Rattus norvegicus: one gene and its partners. The protein of the gene in region 1 purifies or fractionates together with the protein of each later gene. This does not show direct contact. Links are inferred from orthologs where the notes say so. Each region holds a gene or a part of one and is shown in the gene's direction. Other genes may lie near its edges. The genes, in order: Paxip1, Pagr1 and Ncoa6.

Region 1 (5,153 bases):
CATCATTTTCCTTCTTCCAAACCCTCTCACCCTTCCTTGCTGTCTTTCAGATTCATGACTTCTTTTCCATTCATTGTTGTTACGTATCTTTGTGTGTGTACACCTAAGTAGATGAAGAGAACCCGCTTAGTCTGTATGCTGTTGTATGTGTGCATGTTTGGTATGGGATAACCATGGCTCTCAGCTGTCCTTGGTTGCCTGTAGTTCTTTGTGTAGGCTGGAGACTGCGTGAGCTTGAGGATATTTTCTGTTTCACTCCAGTTTTAATATACTGCTACTAAAGGGAGCATGTTTATCCTTGTGTGTGGATGTGCTTGTGCTAGTGCTCATGGGGAGGTCAGAGCAAGACGTTAAGTGTCTGGTCCTATTTGGGACTGAGTCTCTCTTGTTCACTGCTGTGTAGCTAGTCTGTGTGACCTACGAGCTTCCTGATTTCTCTAGTCTTAGGTAGGTGGATCTCCGAGTCGGAGGCTGTCCTGGTTCCTTCTCCCTGTAGGTGCATTAAGATCTCAGGTACATGCGCTCCTCCTGTGCCTGGCTCTTATGTGGGTTCTGGAGACAGAGCTCTGGTTTGTCAGGCTGGCATGCCTACTGTCCAGCCTCCCCCCCCCCCCCACAACAATATTAACAATTCAATTTGAGGATACTATCTTGTGTAGCTCAGGTTAGCCTTGAACTCGCTGTATAGCCAGGGCTGACCTTGAATGCCTGATGGTCTTTCCTCCATTTTGCAAGTGTTGGAATTACAGGTCTGTACCATCAAGCCCAGCTAACATTTGCCTTTAAGAACACCTTTTGCTAGAGTCCCTCCATCTCTTTTCTGTGTTACATCCACTGCCTGGGGGCAAGGTGCAGTGTGGGAGGAACAGGAGCTATGCTGGGTATAGCTGCGGCCTGAGTTGTTTTGGTGGTAATAGTGGATCCCCCGCCTGAGTAGAGGTAACTCCTAGAAGCAGGAGGGGTAGAACATGGCTCTGCCATGGAGAGGCTTGAGCCAAAGCTGCCACTCTCCACAGCACCCTAGTCAGAAGCAGGCCAGGCTACCAGTAGAGGGGGGCTGCTGGGGACATTGCCCAGGCTGCTCAGGCCTGTAAAACACCAAATACTGCCACTTGTTTGTTTTGCCATCCTGTCCCCGTTCTTTAAGGTGCAGCAGCTCTGTGAATCAGTGCCCCCAGTGTGGGGTGTGTGTGTGTGTGTGTGGTGGTGGGCGGGGCAGAGGGTGGGGGAGGGATTGGGTTTGTCTTTTCTACAGTGGGTTCAGTACTTGAACTCAGGTTGCTAGGTTTAGGTAGCAAACACTTCAGCTGCAGAGCATCTCCTGTGTTTGTTAGTCCATTTTCTCCTTTATAATTCAGTGTCCTGCTCTCTGGATGTTGAATACAAAGTGTACGTGTGAGAGCAGTATGTTGTTGTCTGGTCCCCATTTTGTAGCCGTTGGGCATATCAGCTGCATGAATGCACTGTTACTCGCCTAGGAGTGGGTAGTGCCTCTCAGCAATTATCAGTAGCAACTTGACCCTCTTTTTGTTTTCTAGATCTTACAATCCCTTTCAGCACCCACAAAAAACCTAGAGCAGCAGGTGGCACATGTACAGCAGGGACACCCCAGTGCCAGTGCTGTGCTCTTTGGCCAGGCTAAAGGTGCTCCTGAGACACACACGTTGCAGCAGCACCATCCTCCCCAGCAGCCTCAGCAGCAGCACCCAGCCCTGCACCTCCAGCCCCAGATCATGCAGCTCCAGCAGCAACAGCAGCAGCAGCAGCAGCAGCCCCAGCCTTACCCCCAGCCGCCATCACATCAGTTCCCACAGCAAGTCCATCAGCATCAGTTCTCTCAGCAGCAGCTCCAGTTTCCACAGCAACCATTACACCCTCAGCAGCAGTTGCATCGCCCTCAACAGCAACTGCAGCCATTTCAGCAGCAGCATGCCCTGCAGCAGCAGCTCCATCAGTTGCAGCAGCAACAGCTCCAGCAGCACCAGTTAGCACAGCTCCAGCAGCAGCAGCAGCAGCAGCAGCAGCAGCAGCACAACCTCCTCCAGCAGCAACAGCAGCAGCAGCTCCAGCGCTTGCACCAGCAGCAGCAGATGCAGAATCAAGCAGCACACTTGAGCCAAACGTCCCAGGCACTACAACACCAGGTTCTACCCCAGCAGCCCCTGCAGCTGCCCCTGCAGCCCCCACCTCAGCAGCAGCAGCAGCAGCAGCAGCAGCAGCAGCAGCAGCAGCAGCAGCAGCAGCTTTTTGGACATGACCCAGCAGTGGAGAGTTAGTACTGGTTCCTATTTTCCCACAAGTTACAAGCTTGCATAGGAGCATGGGGCCTGTCAGATAATTAGCACGTGGAGTGTGAGTCTCATACCTGTCGAGCAGGCATTACAGTGAGACAATTAGGGTTCTTTACATTTGCACATACTGCAGTGAGGAGCAGTGGTCAGAGCATCAAGGATGCCTCAGGAGCAATGCTGAGATTGAGTGCTTAGACCTAAATTATGTCTTGTTTCTGATGATCTAGTTTTTAGACAGTATATTTGTAGCAACATTCCAGAGGTAGTTAGATTATGGATTCAAACTAAACTCATCAAAATGCACTTTTAATTTGTGTTCATGTCTGTTCCTCTAGTTCCAGAAGAAAGCTTCTTGCTGGGCTGTGTGTTTGCCATTGCGGACTATCCCGAGCAGATGTCGGACAAGCAGCTGCTGGCCACCTGGAAGAGGGTGAGCTGGGGGAGCCGGCTGGCCAGGAGCTGTGTGCTTGACTGGGTTGGATGGCCGCCTGCTTGGCTGGCCTCATGTAACAGCGTCCATGTGTGCACTTTGGTGGGCAGGGACGGGTGCCCTCATCAGTGCTGCCTCCATGGGAGGTGCCCATCATGTTCTGTACTTCTGATACTGAGGTACCACATGGAGTGTTGGGCTTCCTGGTTCTTAAAATTCCTTCAGGGGTAATGGTTACATGTAACTGTCTTCTGGTATAATTGTGAAATGGTAGTTCATATATTTTTCTTTTTAATTCGTTCTTTTTTATGGATGAAAAAGAAAACTTCAAAAAGTCTTTCTTGCAATCATGCTACAAATCAAAACGGAGCAGTCCTTCCCTCTCCCCTTTTAGATAAAAACCAAGTTTAGGATAGAAGCATAGCTGAAGTGTTGTTTGCTATAAGCATTGCTGGTGCTTAAGCCTCTGCCAGATGCCAAGCGTACAGCAAGACAGCAATGTTGAGTTGGGAGAGGATGGGCAAGCCGACAGCACAGAAGCAAGCTGGGCGGTGATGTCCATAGAGCAGCACTGGACGGGGCTTGTTTAAGCTGGTAGAGGTGATCTATGTGTTCACAGGAGGACTTACAGCAAGGATAGGAGGGGACGATCCAGCCAGAGCAGCCTGATAAAGGTGCCCCTGCGGCACTAATGGGGACTTTCATCAAGTCTTGTCCTGGGCAGTTGTTGAGTCAGGGAGAGCAAAAGACAAAGGCTGTCTGTCTTCCAATACCATTTTAGATACAATAGTAGAGGGATTTGGATTTTCCTAACAAGCAGTATGGAAAGGGGTGAATGGAGTAGTTAGATCTGAGGTGTGTGGTAAGGCATAGACTTGGCTCCCCGGGTGGATAGGGTTGGAGAGCTAGAGGGTGTTGGGGCTGTAGGGGCAGAAAAGTGGGGAAGAATTGGGAGCTTTGGAATGGGCCATTGAGAGGCTTCATGAATCCGAAGTCATGAAACAGTGAAGTTTGGGGTTTCATTGGCTTGAGGCAGAGGCTCTAGAACTTGAACTCCAGAGATAGGACACTTCCTTCAGCCACTTGGTTAAAACATGCTACACAGCCAGTTTGTGGGGTGTGGCGGACTAGGCCCAGGGCCTCTTGTGTGTCGCACAAGGTTTTTTGCACTCCCAGTCAGTTGGCTTCCTAAAGTCTGCTTGCAGCCTCCAAAGGATGACAGGGGCAGCCGCCTTGCCTTTTGGTCTTTCTCTGATTTTTGCCTTCTCTTCCTCTCAAGAAATAAGAGGTCCACCTCTGTGCTAAGCCTCCAGCCCTGCAACACCACGTGATGGAGTTGGGACAGAGAAGGGAACAGAGCTGTCCAGAATAGCTTCCCCTGATGGACACACTGTCGTACTGAGTAGGGGAAGAGCAGTACTGGAGCAGGAACGATTGAGGGCTTGGTGTAGGGAGACTGTGATCAAGGCCAGGACATGGTCTCTGGTTCAGCACAGCTTGTAGCTCGATTGAGGGTGGTGATTTCTGAGTGCTCTGCGGCCTGCCCAGCAGAGGAATGTGGGAGCTGAGTGAGAATGAGTACAGGTGTCTAGCTCAGAGACCTCTACTTAGAAGCCACTAATGCAGCAGGGGGTACATGGCAGCTAAGTTCTTGGGTGAAACAGAACCAGAGTTGGCAGGTCAGACAAGGAAGGCGTGGAGATTGTTTCCTCCAGCTAAGGAAGCCAGGGACAGCTCTACTTCCCTCCTGGGTAACTCTCCTAAAAGGGCTTGAGGGAGGGAGGGCTTGCTGTGCCCTGGGCTAGCCAGGGCCTCACACAGTTGGGGCCTTCCAGCTGTGCAAGTGGCCATGGTACGGTAGTGACGCCTTCCCTTCTTCTTTGAGTGACAAGACTAAGAGCAGGGTGTGGAGGAAGCCCTGAGAGTATGTGTTTTGAAAACACACTTTAAAACACCTTTCTGTGGAGAGTTTAGGAATGAGGTTCAGTGAGATACTTTCAAGACAGCAGATGTGGAGGGTGGGATGAGGTCATGGTCAGCACCAGGAAACAAAACCCACACTAGGAAGAACATCTGTCTTAGGGCGCCGTGGGAGTTGTTGGCCACCTGGCTGCCTTGGCCTTCACACAGGAACATCAGTGGATAATGTTTAAGACTGGAAAGCAGTGAAGTAGCATTTGTGAATTAGAATATCTTCACAAATATATTCCTATTGTCAGGACACAACGCAGGCAGTGGGAAGCAGGTGAAGGCAGGAGCTGCTGGCTTCTGTGAAATGGCTGATGGGCACAGTGGTACTCGAGAGTGCGGGGGAGAGTGTGAGTGCGGAGTGACATCTGCCTTCTGTTCATAGCAGGCTGGATTGAGATCACACGTAGGGGGTTGGGAATTTAGCTCAGTGGTAGAGCACTTGCCTAGCAAGCGCAAGGCCC
Region 2 (5,819 bases), on another chromosome or scaffold:
ACACCTTCCCTCACCTCTCTGCATGGATCCCACTTTTCCAATTGCCAGGCCTTTGCTTGCCTCTCACCTAACCCTCCAAGGCACTACTGCCCTTCAAGTGGGAGGGAAACAGATGTTTCATATAATCTTGCTGACCTGTACCCATTTCCTCCTGCATCCCCAATTCTCCTTCCTTAATCCAATGGGGCTGTCTTCCCTCTGGACTCTCACCTGATCCCTGCTGGGCTGGCTCCTGCTGACCTGGGCCATGATACCTCCAAACCCCTCACCCTCACCCCAGTCCCGGAACAGCCTGCAACAGGGGGACGTGGATGGGGCTCAACGTCTGGGTCGAGTAGCCAAGCTCTTAAGCATCGTGGCGCTGGTTGGGGGGGTCCTCATCATCATCGCCTCCTGCGTCATCAACTTAGGCGGTGAGTGGGGGTCGGGGACAGGAAGGGGAGGTGTGGAGGGTTGACAAGGGCAGCTTTACTAACCCCTGACCCTGCTCTCTCCTGTCTGTCCTCCCTATTCCTTTGTCTCTTCCTTCCTCCCTGTCTGTCTTTCCCTCTCCTCTCCCACAGTGTATAAGTGAGGGGCTCTGCCCTGCATTCCAAGACTTTTCTTCCTGTTGGGAGCTGTCTTGGGTCCATCCCAATCCTGGGAGAATCCCAGTCCATGGCCCTGGCCCCCACCCCTAGGGACTGAGGGAGCCTGAGCGGGCCTTGTTTACAGCTTCTTCCCTACTCCTGCATCCTGCCAGGCTCCTCTGCCAGCCGTAGGCTTCCTTTCTCCCTGCACTTTTGCCTGCAGATCTCCCCTCCTGCCTCTTGACCCCCCTAGTCCTGCACTCTGAAAACCCCTCTGCACTTCTGGACGCCTCCCTGAACATCTAAATTGTACTCTGCACCTCCGCATCCCTCCCAGCCTCCTTGCACTTCTCCCTGCCCCTGGAATCCTCTGAACCTTAATTAACCCTGACCTCCCAACTTTCATTGTCTTGGTATCTAACCCATCCCTTTCTTCCCTTCCCTAACATTCTTTCCCCTTGCCACATCCCCTGACCCCTTCTCATCTTTCCCTTAGCGTCTTCACCCTCCTGCCAACACTTAGTCTGCAAAACCTGCAGTACTTAGGTCAGGCTGAGGGAAGAAGGATGGTGTGGGGAGAGGTCTGCCTAGCTAGGGGCTCTGACTGTTCTCTACTGGGGACCACCCAGGCCCAGATCATACCCCCACCCTAACCCCTAAGGTGCCTATTGGGTCGCAAAGCTGGCAAGCCAGACCTCACCTGGGGTACTTGCACAAGAGTGGGAGTCCTGGTTCTGAACATTCAGGGGAGGAAGGGGTATAGCTGTGGCTGAAGAGTCAGCCTAAATTGACCTGCCCATTTGGGCTTTTTAACCTCAAGAGTTTCTCGAAGGTCCATTTATGTGCTTTGTAAACAGTAGAATTTTAAAAAAAATTTAAAAAGGACCAAAGTTCTCAACTGCAGGGAGCAAGGGAAGGGCGCGAGCTCTGTAATATTCTCTAAGAGGACGAGGGAGGTTTGTTGCACGCGACAGCCCACTGAGGAGGCAGAGAGCCAGCTGCGATGCATTTCGGAGTTGGTCGGTGTTTTTTTTGTTTGTTTGTTTGTTTTCTTTCTTTAAAAAAAGTTGGGGGGAAAACTAAAATTCCTTTAAAAAAATAAAACTGAGTCTCCCTTTTTGTATGCTGAATGCTGCATGAGTCTTAAACACTAATAAACAGAGAATGCATGAGACTGGCCTCAGTTGGTCCCTGTGTTGGTTTGCAGAGTCAAGGTACTGCTTTCTGGCAGGCCCTAGTGAACGGAATACGCATGCGCTGCCGCAGTGGCCATCTTTAGTATGGGCCGAAGTTAGTGATGCCTGAGGGCCTCATTGCGCATGCGCAAGTGGTCTCTTTTTTTTTTTTTTTTTTTTTTCCCCTTCCAAGTAGTTTTGACTACCACGGAGCCTCCGCGCGCCATTTCTCTGCGCCTGCGTACTGCGATCCTGCGCAGCCAGGGAGGCGGGTTTTAGCTCCAGGTTTGTACCGCTGCTGAGTAGACGCGAACTAGGTTTGCCGGGTTTAAAAAAATGGCTTCCATCCAGGTGATGGAGAAGGCGATGTGAAAGCGAGAAAGCAGGCCCTTCCCTTTCCAGCTCCGAGCGTGTCTCCTGCCGGTCCCTGGGAACGGCAGAATTCTGGATCCGTGGGGTGGGGTCTGTCCTAGCAGGGACCTGAGCGCCCCCTCCTGGGGACCGTGCTCTGGCCGCAGTCAGTTGTTGGACTGCCTCGTTGGTGATTTCTTAGACCCCCACTTGATCTAAAGCCTTTTGGGTGAGGCACCCTGGTTTGGTACTCCAGAGTCTCCTATATTGCTGGGCTCTTCTCTAGTACTCTATGTCCCTTGCCCTGGGCCATGGAACCATTGCAGGCAGCACAGCGGCGCCTCTGTCTGAAGAAGGGGAAGTGACTTCCGGCCTCCAGGCTCTGGCGGTGGAGGACACTGGAGGTCCCTCTGTCTCGGCTAGTAAGGCCGAGGAAGAGGGGAAAGGCAGTCAGGAGGAGGCCGGGCGTGAGGCATCCAGGGCTGAGGAGGCACTAGAAGCTTCCAGCGCTGTGAGCGACGAGCGTGCCGAGGGAGAATCCGAAGACTGGTGCGTGCCCTGCAGCGACGAGGAGGTGGAGCTGCCGGCCAATGGGCAGTCCTGGATGCCCCCACCCTCCGAAATCCAGCGGCTCTATGAACTGCTGGCTACCCAAGGTACTCTGGAGCTTCAAGCGGAGATCCTACCCCGCCGGCCGCCTACTCCTGAGGCCCAGAGTGAAGAGGAGAGATCAGATGAGGAGCCAGAGGCCAAAGAGGAGGAGGAGGAAAAGTGAGGCCATGCTTTACACATTATTCACGGGACTTCTCTCTTGAACACTGAAACTGGAGGGAGGGGAGAGCAGGAAAGGGAGAGGCAGCGGGCTGGGGTATGCCAGCAGGTGTTTGGGAGAGCTTCTCTCACCCTTCGCTTTCTGTCCACCCTGTTTCAGGCCGCACATGCCTACAGAGTTTGACTTTGATGATGAGCCAGTGACACCCAAGGACTCACTGATTGACAGAAGACGTACACCAGGTAGGAATGAGAGGGAAGAATTGAGGGGAAGTAAAGGGCCTCTTTTAGTTACCTCAGAAGAGGGCTGGTCTGAGGCCTTGGCTGATTTCTGCCGTCATGCAAGATGGAGCATTCACACAGTGGCAGCCTATTTCTGACTTAGGTCAATGCTATACTTTTCTGTCAGAGACCCACAAACCTTCCCAAAAGTCCAAGATCTCCTGACATCCCAGCCCGTCGCCTTTCTAGAGTTTACTTTCAGAATCATTCTTGAGCTCTCTCCCAGCTGGTTAAGCCAACAGCAAGTTGCATTAATTAGCTCCACTTCTACAGTTCCACCTTCGATTTCTCTTGTTGACACTTTTCACAGTTCTAACTAGTATCCGCAGTCCTGGTCTTAGCAACCAGAGTAGTCCTTCTAAGTGAAGTCTTGTCTTTTCTCTGCTTGTACTCCTCCAGAGGATTCCATCACAGGGAAGAGCATGTCCAGTGCCTCTGCCCCAGTGCCCTGTACTCAGAATAAATCTGCCTCCTGCCCCAGGACCTTTGCACTTGATGGCTATGTTCCCCAGCCATTGCATTATGGGTATCTTAGCTTAATATCAGCCATCCTGTGTGTGGCCCAAACCTCAACATTTGCTTCTCTGTGCTCCCCAGGCCTAAAAAGTATGTATTTAACAAGATCTCTACGTGTAGGGGCTTGGGGATGCTCACTGGCTTAATGGTGTCACATTTCCTACCTTCTTAGGAAGCTCAGCCCGGAGCCAGAAACGGGAGGCGCGTCTGGATAAAGTCCTCTCAGACATGAAGCGACATAAGAAACTAGAGGAGCAGATCCTTCGGACCGGGAGAGACCTCTTCAGCTTAGACTCAGAAGGCCCCAGCCCTGCCAGCCCTCCACTCCGATCCTCAGGAAATAGTCTCTTTCCCAGGCAGCGAAAGTACTGACTGTTGCTGCTCTGGCCTACAGGTGCAGACTGTTTTGTGCTGAGCATGGCCGGCCTTTCCCATCCCAGGCTCTTGTAACAGAAAAAGCCTCAAGCTCCCAGCGCAGTGCCTTGCAGGAGAGTGTGTGTGTGTGTGTGTGTGTGTGCGTGTGCGTGTGTGTGTGTTGTTGTTGTTGTTGTTGTTGTTTAGTGTCTGTTTACAGTTTTGAGCTGGATATGCTGAATCTAATAAAAGATGCCTGATGATCTTTTCAGAGGAGAGACTGCCGCTCAACCCAAGCACATGTTCTTACTTGGGCAGAGGCAGAACTGTATCCCTCCACAGTGATATACTGAAGCCAGATGAGGCAGAGGTGCAGCCAGCCATCATCTAACACCTCCCCCTTACCCCAACCCCCCTGCCCCCCCCACCAGGTCCTCTGATTTCCTAGACTCATCCAACCCCACCAGTTAGCACTGAAGCAGAAATCGCCAGTCTGGGAGTATGAACCTAGCTGCTGTGTCTTCAGTGCATCCTGAAGGAGGAAAAGATCCAGTTGCAGGGCCCTTTAAATACCCAAGCTCCGCCCCTGCCGGCCCAGCCCTTTAGGGAAGTCCCGCTTGGTGAGGGAAATTCCTGACCTGTGGCTTGCAGCTGCCAGCTACCCTGCTAAATGTGAGTACAGATTGTGACCCTGGCGGGACCCCCCCAGACTCCAACCCAGGGGTCTGTTCCAAAGGCTCTCTCTAGTCTTCCTGCTTTTCAGAAATCTTTCTTGTGACTGAGACAAGAACACCTCAGTCACAAATTACAGGAAGGGAGGGCGTTGGTGGCTCTGCCTTGTGAGGTTTCACTTTCTATGAGTTTCAGGGTTTGAAAGCACCCTGTTAATGTCCTCAACCCCAAAACCTCAGGCCTCCCTGACATCAGGGTCTCCCCAACAGATTATAGGTGAGGGGGTACTTTTGTCAGGCCCAGTAGCACACATGTGCTACTCCCTGCTCCGTAGCAGAAGCGGAAAGATGCCTTGAGCCCAGGAGTCCTGAACCAACTCAGACACGTAGCAGGAGAGACCATCGTTTTCATTTCTCTTGTTTGGTTGGTTGACTTTAGGTTTTGTTTTGGTTGGGTGGTGGTGGTGGTTGTTGAGAAAGTGGTCTTGAACTCTCTGTAGCCCGGGATGACCTTGAACACCTGACCTTCTTGCCTCCATCTCCTGAGTGAATGCTGACATAGATTTCTGTCATCGCCATCAGTTTTATTCAGAGCTGGGGCTCACACCTAGGGTTTCATGTATTTGGGCAAGGACTCTGCCCTGATGGATGGAGTGTGGCACAGTGACATAGCACACCTATGTGTCCAGAGGTCCCTAGCACACTTTAAAAAGAAAAAAGAAACGGGGAACCTTACCCGACACAGTTCACACCTCTAATCCCAGCACTTGGGGCACTTGGGCAACTGAGGCAGGAGGGTCTCCAGAGGCTTGAGGCCAGCCTGAGATACAGTTCTACCACAGCTTAAGCTACTATGTAAAACCCTGTCACAAATAACAGAAGCCAACTGGGCAAAGTTACAGCTTCCATTCAGACTCCATCTGGTGGTGTCACTCCCTGAGGACCTGGGCTCTGCCTTCTCTTCAATGACTGACATTTGTGACTTCTCCTTGACTCCCTTCTCTGCCAGTTGTGGAGGCTTTTTACTGTTGCCCTGTGCAGGACTGTGCCAACCATGGGCCTTGGCCACTCTTGCAGTGGTTAGCGGCGGGACAAGCGGAAGAGTAGCTTGGTTTCAGAAGGTACAGAGT
Region 3 (5,153 bases), on another chromosome or scaffold:
GGAATAGAGAACTTCTAAACAAGGAGTGATATTACTTGATGCCATTGCAAAACTCTTGCGCTTGGGAAGCAGGGTAAAGTAGCTTATACTTATAATGCCAGCACTACAGAGGCTGAAGTAGGAGGACCGCTACAAAGTTAAAGCCAGCCTAGACTACAGAGTAAGTCCTGTTGTTTAAATAAGTAAATAAAGACACCTTCTACTCAAAAAAGGGGGAAAAAACCTTCTGCTCAAAATTTCTTAACAAGCTTAATAAATTGCTAGTTCTTTTTTTTTTTTTTTCTTTTTTTTTTTCTTTTTTTCGGAGCTGGGGACCGAACCCAGGGCCTTGTGCTTGCTAGGCAAGCGCTCTACCACTGAGCTAAATCCCCAACCCCAAATTGCTAGTTCTTTACCAATGGTAAAATCTCCAAAACCCATACTTTATTGGACTTTCACGCTTGGTTCCTAAAAAGCGAGTCAGAGTATTTGACAGGCTCTGATGATCCTCCTTTATTGGTAGGACGTTGTTCCCTATGACCAGCCAGCCCATCCCCTGGGTAAACTTTACACAGGAAGCTCCATGACAGGACAGAGCAAGGTACCTACCTCCTTTATAGCTTCCTGCTTTACCTTCAAACTGGAAACCAAGATGCTAAGATATGAACGGAGTTGGGGCATATAATCCTTCCAACTCCCAAGTGATGGGACAGCTATCTTAGCTCTCCCCAAGGTGTTAAGTGTCTTCTGTGGAAGGTACTATAGCAGTCAAAATTGTGGACTAAGGGCAAGAAGCACTTATTTTGGCAGCTGTTTTTCTTCTTCTTCTTTTTTTTATTCCTTTCTTTTTTGTTTTTTTGTTTTTTTTTGTTTTGTTTTGTTCTGTTTTTTGGGATAGGGTTTCTCTGTGCCACAGTCTCAGCTGTCCTGGAATTTGCTCTATAGGTCAGAATGGCCTTGAACTCACAGAGATCCACCAGCTCTGCCTCCCGAGTGCAGGGATTAAAGGTCTGAGCTATCTTGCCTGGCTCAGCAACTGTTTTCCATTAGGCCAAGTAAGATTTAAATTTTCATAACTAGAGAGACAGCTCAGCAGTTAAGAGCACTGACTGCTCTTCCTGAGGTCCTGAGTTCAAATCCCAGCAACCACATGGTGGCTCACAACCATCTGTAATAAGATCTGATGCCCTCTTCTGGTGTGTCTGAAGACAGCTACAGTGTACTCACATACATAAAGTAAATAAATCTTTTAAGTTTCCTTAGAAACTGTTTAATGAAACAATTCTAGTATCCTACCTACATTTGAAGCTCAAATGAGCCATCTTGAGATGGCTCAGATTTAAGAATACTTGTTACTCTTGCAGACCTGGGTTTGGTTTCCGGCACCCACTCACAACCATCATAATTCCAACACTTTCTCTCTGACTTCTTCGTGTATTATATGCATGTGATACATATACATACTTGGAGGCAAAAGTCTCACTTAAAATAAGTCCTAAAAACAAATACAGGAGATGCAGTCAGTGCATTGGCATGGCACGTGCTTGCCATGTACAAGGATTCAGTCCCCAGCACGGCCCGTTAGAAACACTGAAATGTTCTTACCTTTTGTCACAGAGGTAATTAGGAGAGACTTCTCTGTTTGCCATTACATGACATCTCTACTACAAGGCTGTAGGGACCTTTTTGTTCTGTGTGGCCGAGCACAATCTTGAACTTCTGATCTTTCCTCCACCTCTGAGGCGCTTTGATCACAAACATGTTCTAACACACTAGGTTTGTGCAGTACTGGGGACAAACCTAGTGTTTTGTGCATGCTAAGCAAGGACTGTGCCACAGACTTATAGTCACAATACCTGAAAACTTTTTTATAGTGTAGTTATTGCAAGAAAATGGTAATTTCCTCACAAGTCCTCCAGGGTCTCTCCACCTAAGTATTACAGTGTCCATACTATCCTGCATACTTCTTTCCACATACCTCTTATCTCCTAATTATAAACTCCCAGAAGGGAGTGGGGAATTTTGAGTTTCCGAGTCTCTTCCTATTCTCCACTTGTTCCCATCCTGCCCCTGCTCCTACCCACAGTTTGTGGGCCAGTTTTGAAAATAAGTGTTGAGACTTTGAAGCCCTCTGACACTAAGCAACTTCGTTAGTGATTGCGGTCGCCTTGTGCTTGTTAAGCTGGAACATGCCGCATAGACTAGGACTTCAGTTTCCTGTAATTCCCGCGTTCTGGAGGGCGAGGCTCAAAGTCATGAGTTCAGAGCTAGACTGAACTGTATATAGTAAGGCTTAGGTTAGGTTATAATACTGAGCTAGCCTTTTTTATAGTAGTAAACATAATTCTTCAAAATCAGAAAAAAGTAATTTTTATGTAACTGTCTTTAAACTAAATCTGCATTTTACTCTGACTATTTTCATTTTGTAATTTTACTGTCATTTTCAGGGGAAGGTGCTATCAACCTGGCTTTGGGTCAGAACCGAAGCCAAGACGTGAGAATGAATGGACCCGTGGTATCTGGAAATTCCGTTAGGATGGAGGCAGGATTTCCCATGGCAAGTGGTCCAGGTGAGACTCCTACTCATTTTGTGTAAATTTTACCAGTTTCCTTTTGGGAGCTTGATTTCTTACAGTACTGAGTCTTGCCATGTAGATGAGATATAGAGCGTGCTCACTTCTATTTCTTAGAACAATGACAATGACAATGAACTACTCAGAGAGGTAGCAGTGACAGAGCCTGAGGTGATGGATTTATTGTCTTTGGCCTGAAAGTCTGGTGAACACTGAGTCATGGAGTAAACATTTATTAAGTACCGAGTATATGATAAGACCTATGCTAAACATTGGAAATAGAAATGAGTAAAACATGGGCTGGAGAGATGGCTCAGTGGTTAAGAGCACTGACTGCTCTTCCAAAGGTCCTGAGTTCAAATCCCAGCAACCACATGGTGGCTCACAACCATCTGTAATGAGATCTGATGCCCTCTTCTGGTGTGTCTGAAGACAGCTACAGTGTACTTAAATATAATAAATAAATAAATCTTAAAAAAAATAAATAAATAGTTTAAAAAAAAAAAAGAAATGAGTAAAACATTTTCCATCTTCAAGCAGAGGCAGGTGGATATGAGCTTGAAGCCAGTAAGGTCTGTATAGCAAGTTCTAGGCCAGCCAAGGCTACATATGAGATCTTACCTCAAACGAAAGAAAAAAATTGAGGACAGAAGTGAGTGAATTAAAAACTATAAAGAACAGCACCATCTGTTTCTTTATAAAGAGCGACTAAGCTGGGGTGGAGGAGCTCCACTGAGGCAAAGTTTACCCAGCAGGTACAAAGCCTGGGTTCAGTCTCAAACACTGCATAAAACCCCGCCTATTGATCCATGTTTATAATCTGAGCAGTTGAGGAGTGGAGGCAGGAGGATCCCGAGTTCAAGGTCGTTTTCTACTATATAGTAAGTTTGATGCCAGCCCAAGCTACACAAGACCCTGACTCAAAGAAGTGAATAATTCTGTTGAGAAAGGGACAACTAAAAGTGATTTTTAATATGGGAAGAGTTTAAAGAAACATATTCTTAAAGGATAAATATTACACTATGTAAATTAATTCTTAATATTAAAAAAAAAACTGGAGTTAGATTGCACACCTGTAATCCCAGCATTTGAGAGGATGAGGCAGGAGTTTTTCCATGAGTTTCAGGCCAGCCTGGGCTATGTAACTCTGTCTCAAAATACAGGCAGAGGGGTTGGAGAGATGGCTCAGCAGTTGAGAATTGCCTGCTTTTTTGGAAAATCAGGATTCAGTGTCCAGCACCCACATAGTGGCTCATAACCATCTGTAACTAGTTCTAGGAGATCCAATACCTCTTCTGGTCTTCACAAATACCAGATATGTAAGTGGTGTACACACATATACGTGCAGGCAAAACATATATAAACAGAAAAACTTTTAAATCTAAAAATAGTTCTTAAAAGAAAAATTTATATATTTTTTAATGTTTCTAAGGTATGTCACTAAAATAAAAATTATAAACTGAGTGTGGTAGCTGGCACATGTAGTCTCAGCCCTTCCTTAAGCAATTACTGTGACTTTCAGACAGTCTGGTCATCACACACATACGTGTGCCAACTCCAGAATATGATCTCAGGTGTTCTCTCTTCTAGGACTAATAAGAATGACAAGCCCTGCCACTGTTATGATGCCCCAGGGCGGGAACGCATCATCTTCCATGATGGCACCAGGCCCCAATCCAGAACTGCAACCCAGGACTCCTCGCCCTGCTTCTCAGTCAGGTAGTGTCTTCCGTCATTGGGAATTAAAGAAGCCGGCGTTACTTAACAGATATCATTGAGATTCAGCCACTGAGGCTGGATTCCTAACTAACTGCTCAGTTCCAGAATTACCATCAAGTCTCACAACTAAATGTCAATGTTTCTTCTCCAAATTTCTTGTTATTTTATCATCTATTTTCCAATGTTCCCAATGCTGTCCTAGTTAAGAGTTTCTATTGTTATGAACAGACACCATGACTACAGCAATTCTTATAAAGGAAAACATTTAATTGGGGCTAGCTTACAGGTTCAGAGGTTTAGAGCATGGTGGTATGCAGGCAAACATGGTACTGGAGAAGTAGTTGAGAGTTCTAGATCTGGATCAGCAGACAACAGGAAGAGAGACTGACACTGGGCCTGGCTTCAGTACTTGAAACCTCAAAGCCCACCCTTCATGACACCCCCTTTTTTCAACAAGGTCATGCCTCCTAATTATGTGCCACTCCCTATGAAGCTGTTCAGACTCCCCATTCAAACTACCATATATACCTTGGGATGCTTAGTTCTGTAAGATACACCATGACAGAATTTTGAAGTCATATGAATTTGTTACATGCTTTTTAAGTTAACATGTTATATCACTAAGCTTCCTACAGTAAAGAAGAAATTTGTCTGAAGTCTGTCTAGCATTTCCCAAACCTAGTTGACTGTTTTATCTTGTTTTCCTATAACAATAATTGCTCAGAATAAAATTTTGAAAATGTTATCTATATTTTATGTTTGATTTACTAATGAGCCATAAGCTGTGTTTAAGGCAGGATTCCTCTTTGTAACTGTTGTTTCTTAGAATATACTCATGGGTGGGTAATATCAGTGGGATCAGCAGATCCAAGCCAGCATGCT

The links.
Region 2: the proteins of Paxip1 (region 1) and Pagr1 purify together in Homo sapiens (affinity purification with mass spectrometry; 6 studies listed by BioGRID and IntAct, with this or other methods). This does not show direct contact. The link is inferred for Rattus norvegicus from reciprocal best matches to the Homo sapiens genes PAXIP1 and PAGR1.
Region 3: the proteins of Paxip1 (region 1) and Ncoa6 purify together in Homo sapiens (co-immunoprecipitation; 6 studies listed by BioGRID and IntAct, with this or other methods). This does not show direct contact. The link is inferred for Rattus norvegicus from reciprocal best matches to the Homo sapiens genes PAXIP1 and NCOA6.

The regions. Positions count from the first base shown.
Region 1 is NC_086022.1:8,282,377-8,287,529, forward strand, and holds part of Paxip1 (PAX-interacting protein 1), read left to right. Parts: intron 1-1,538; coding exon 1,539-2,271; intron 2,272-2,626; coding exon 2,627-2,721; intron 2,722-5,153.
Region 2 is NC_086019.1:191,051,705-191,057,523, reverse strand, and holds Pagr1 (PAXIP1-associated glutamate-rich protein 1), read left to right. Parts: upstream 1-2,023; 5' UTR 2,024-2,387; coding exon 2,388-2,866; intron 2,867-3,026; coding exon 3,027-3,109; intron 3,110-3,836; coding exon 3,837-4,036; 3' UTR 4,037-4,296; downstream 4,297-5,819. Other genes in the region: Prrt2 (proline-rich transmembrane protein 2), read left to right, coding at 281-413, 564-574. UniProt on the Homo sapiens protein: Its association with the histone methyltransferase MLL2/MLL3 complex is suggesting a role in epigenetic transcriptional activation. However, in association with PAXIP1/PTIP is proposed to function at least in part independently of the MLL2/MLL3 complex.
Region 3 is NC_086021.1:164,381,194-164,386,346, reverse strand, and holds part of Ncoa6 (nuclear receptor coactivator 6), read left to right. Parts: intron 1-2,426; coding exon 2,427-2,549; intron 2,550-4,142; coding exon 4,143-4,271; intron 4,272-5,153. UniProt on the Homo sapiens protein: Nuclear receptor coactivator that directly binds nuclear receptors and stimulates the transcriptional activities in a hormone-dependent fashion. Coactivates expression in an agonist- and AF2-dependent manner.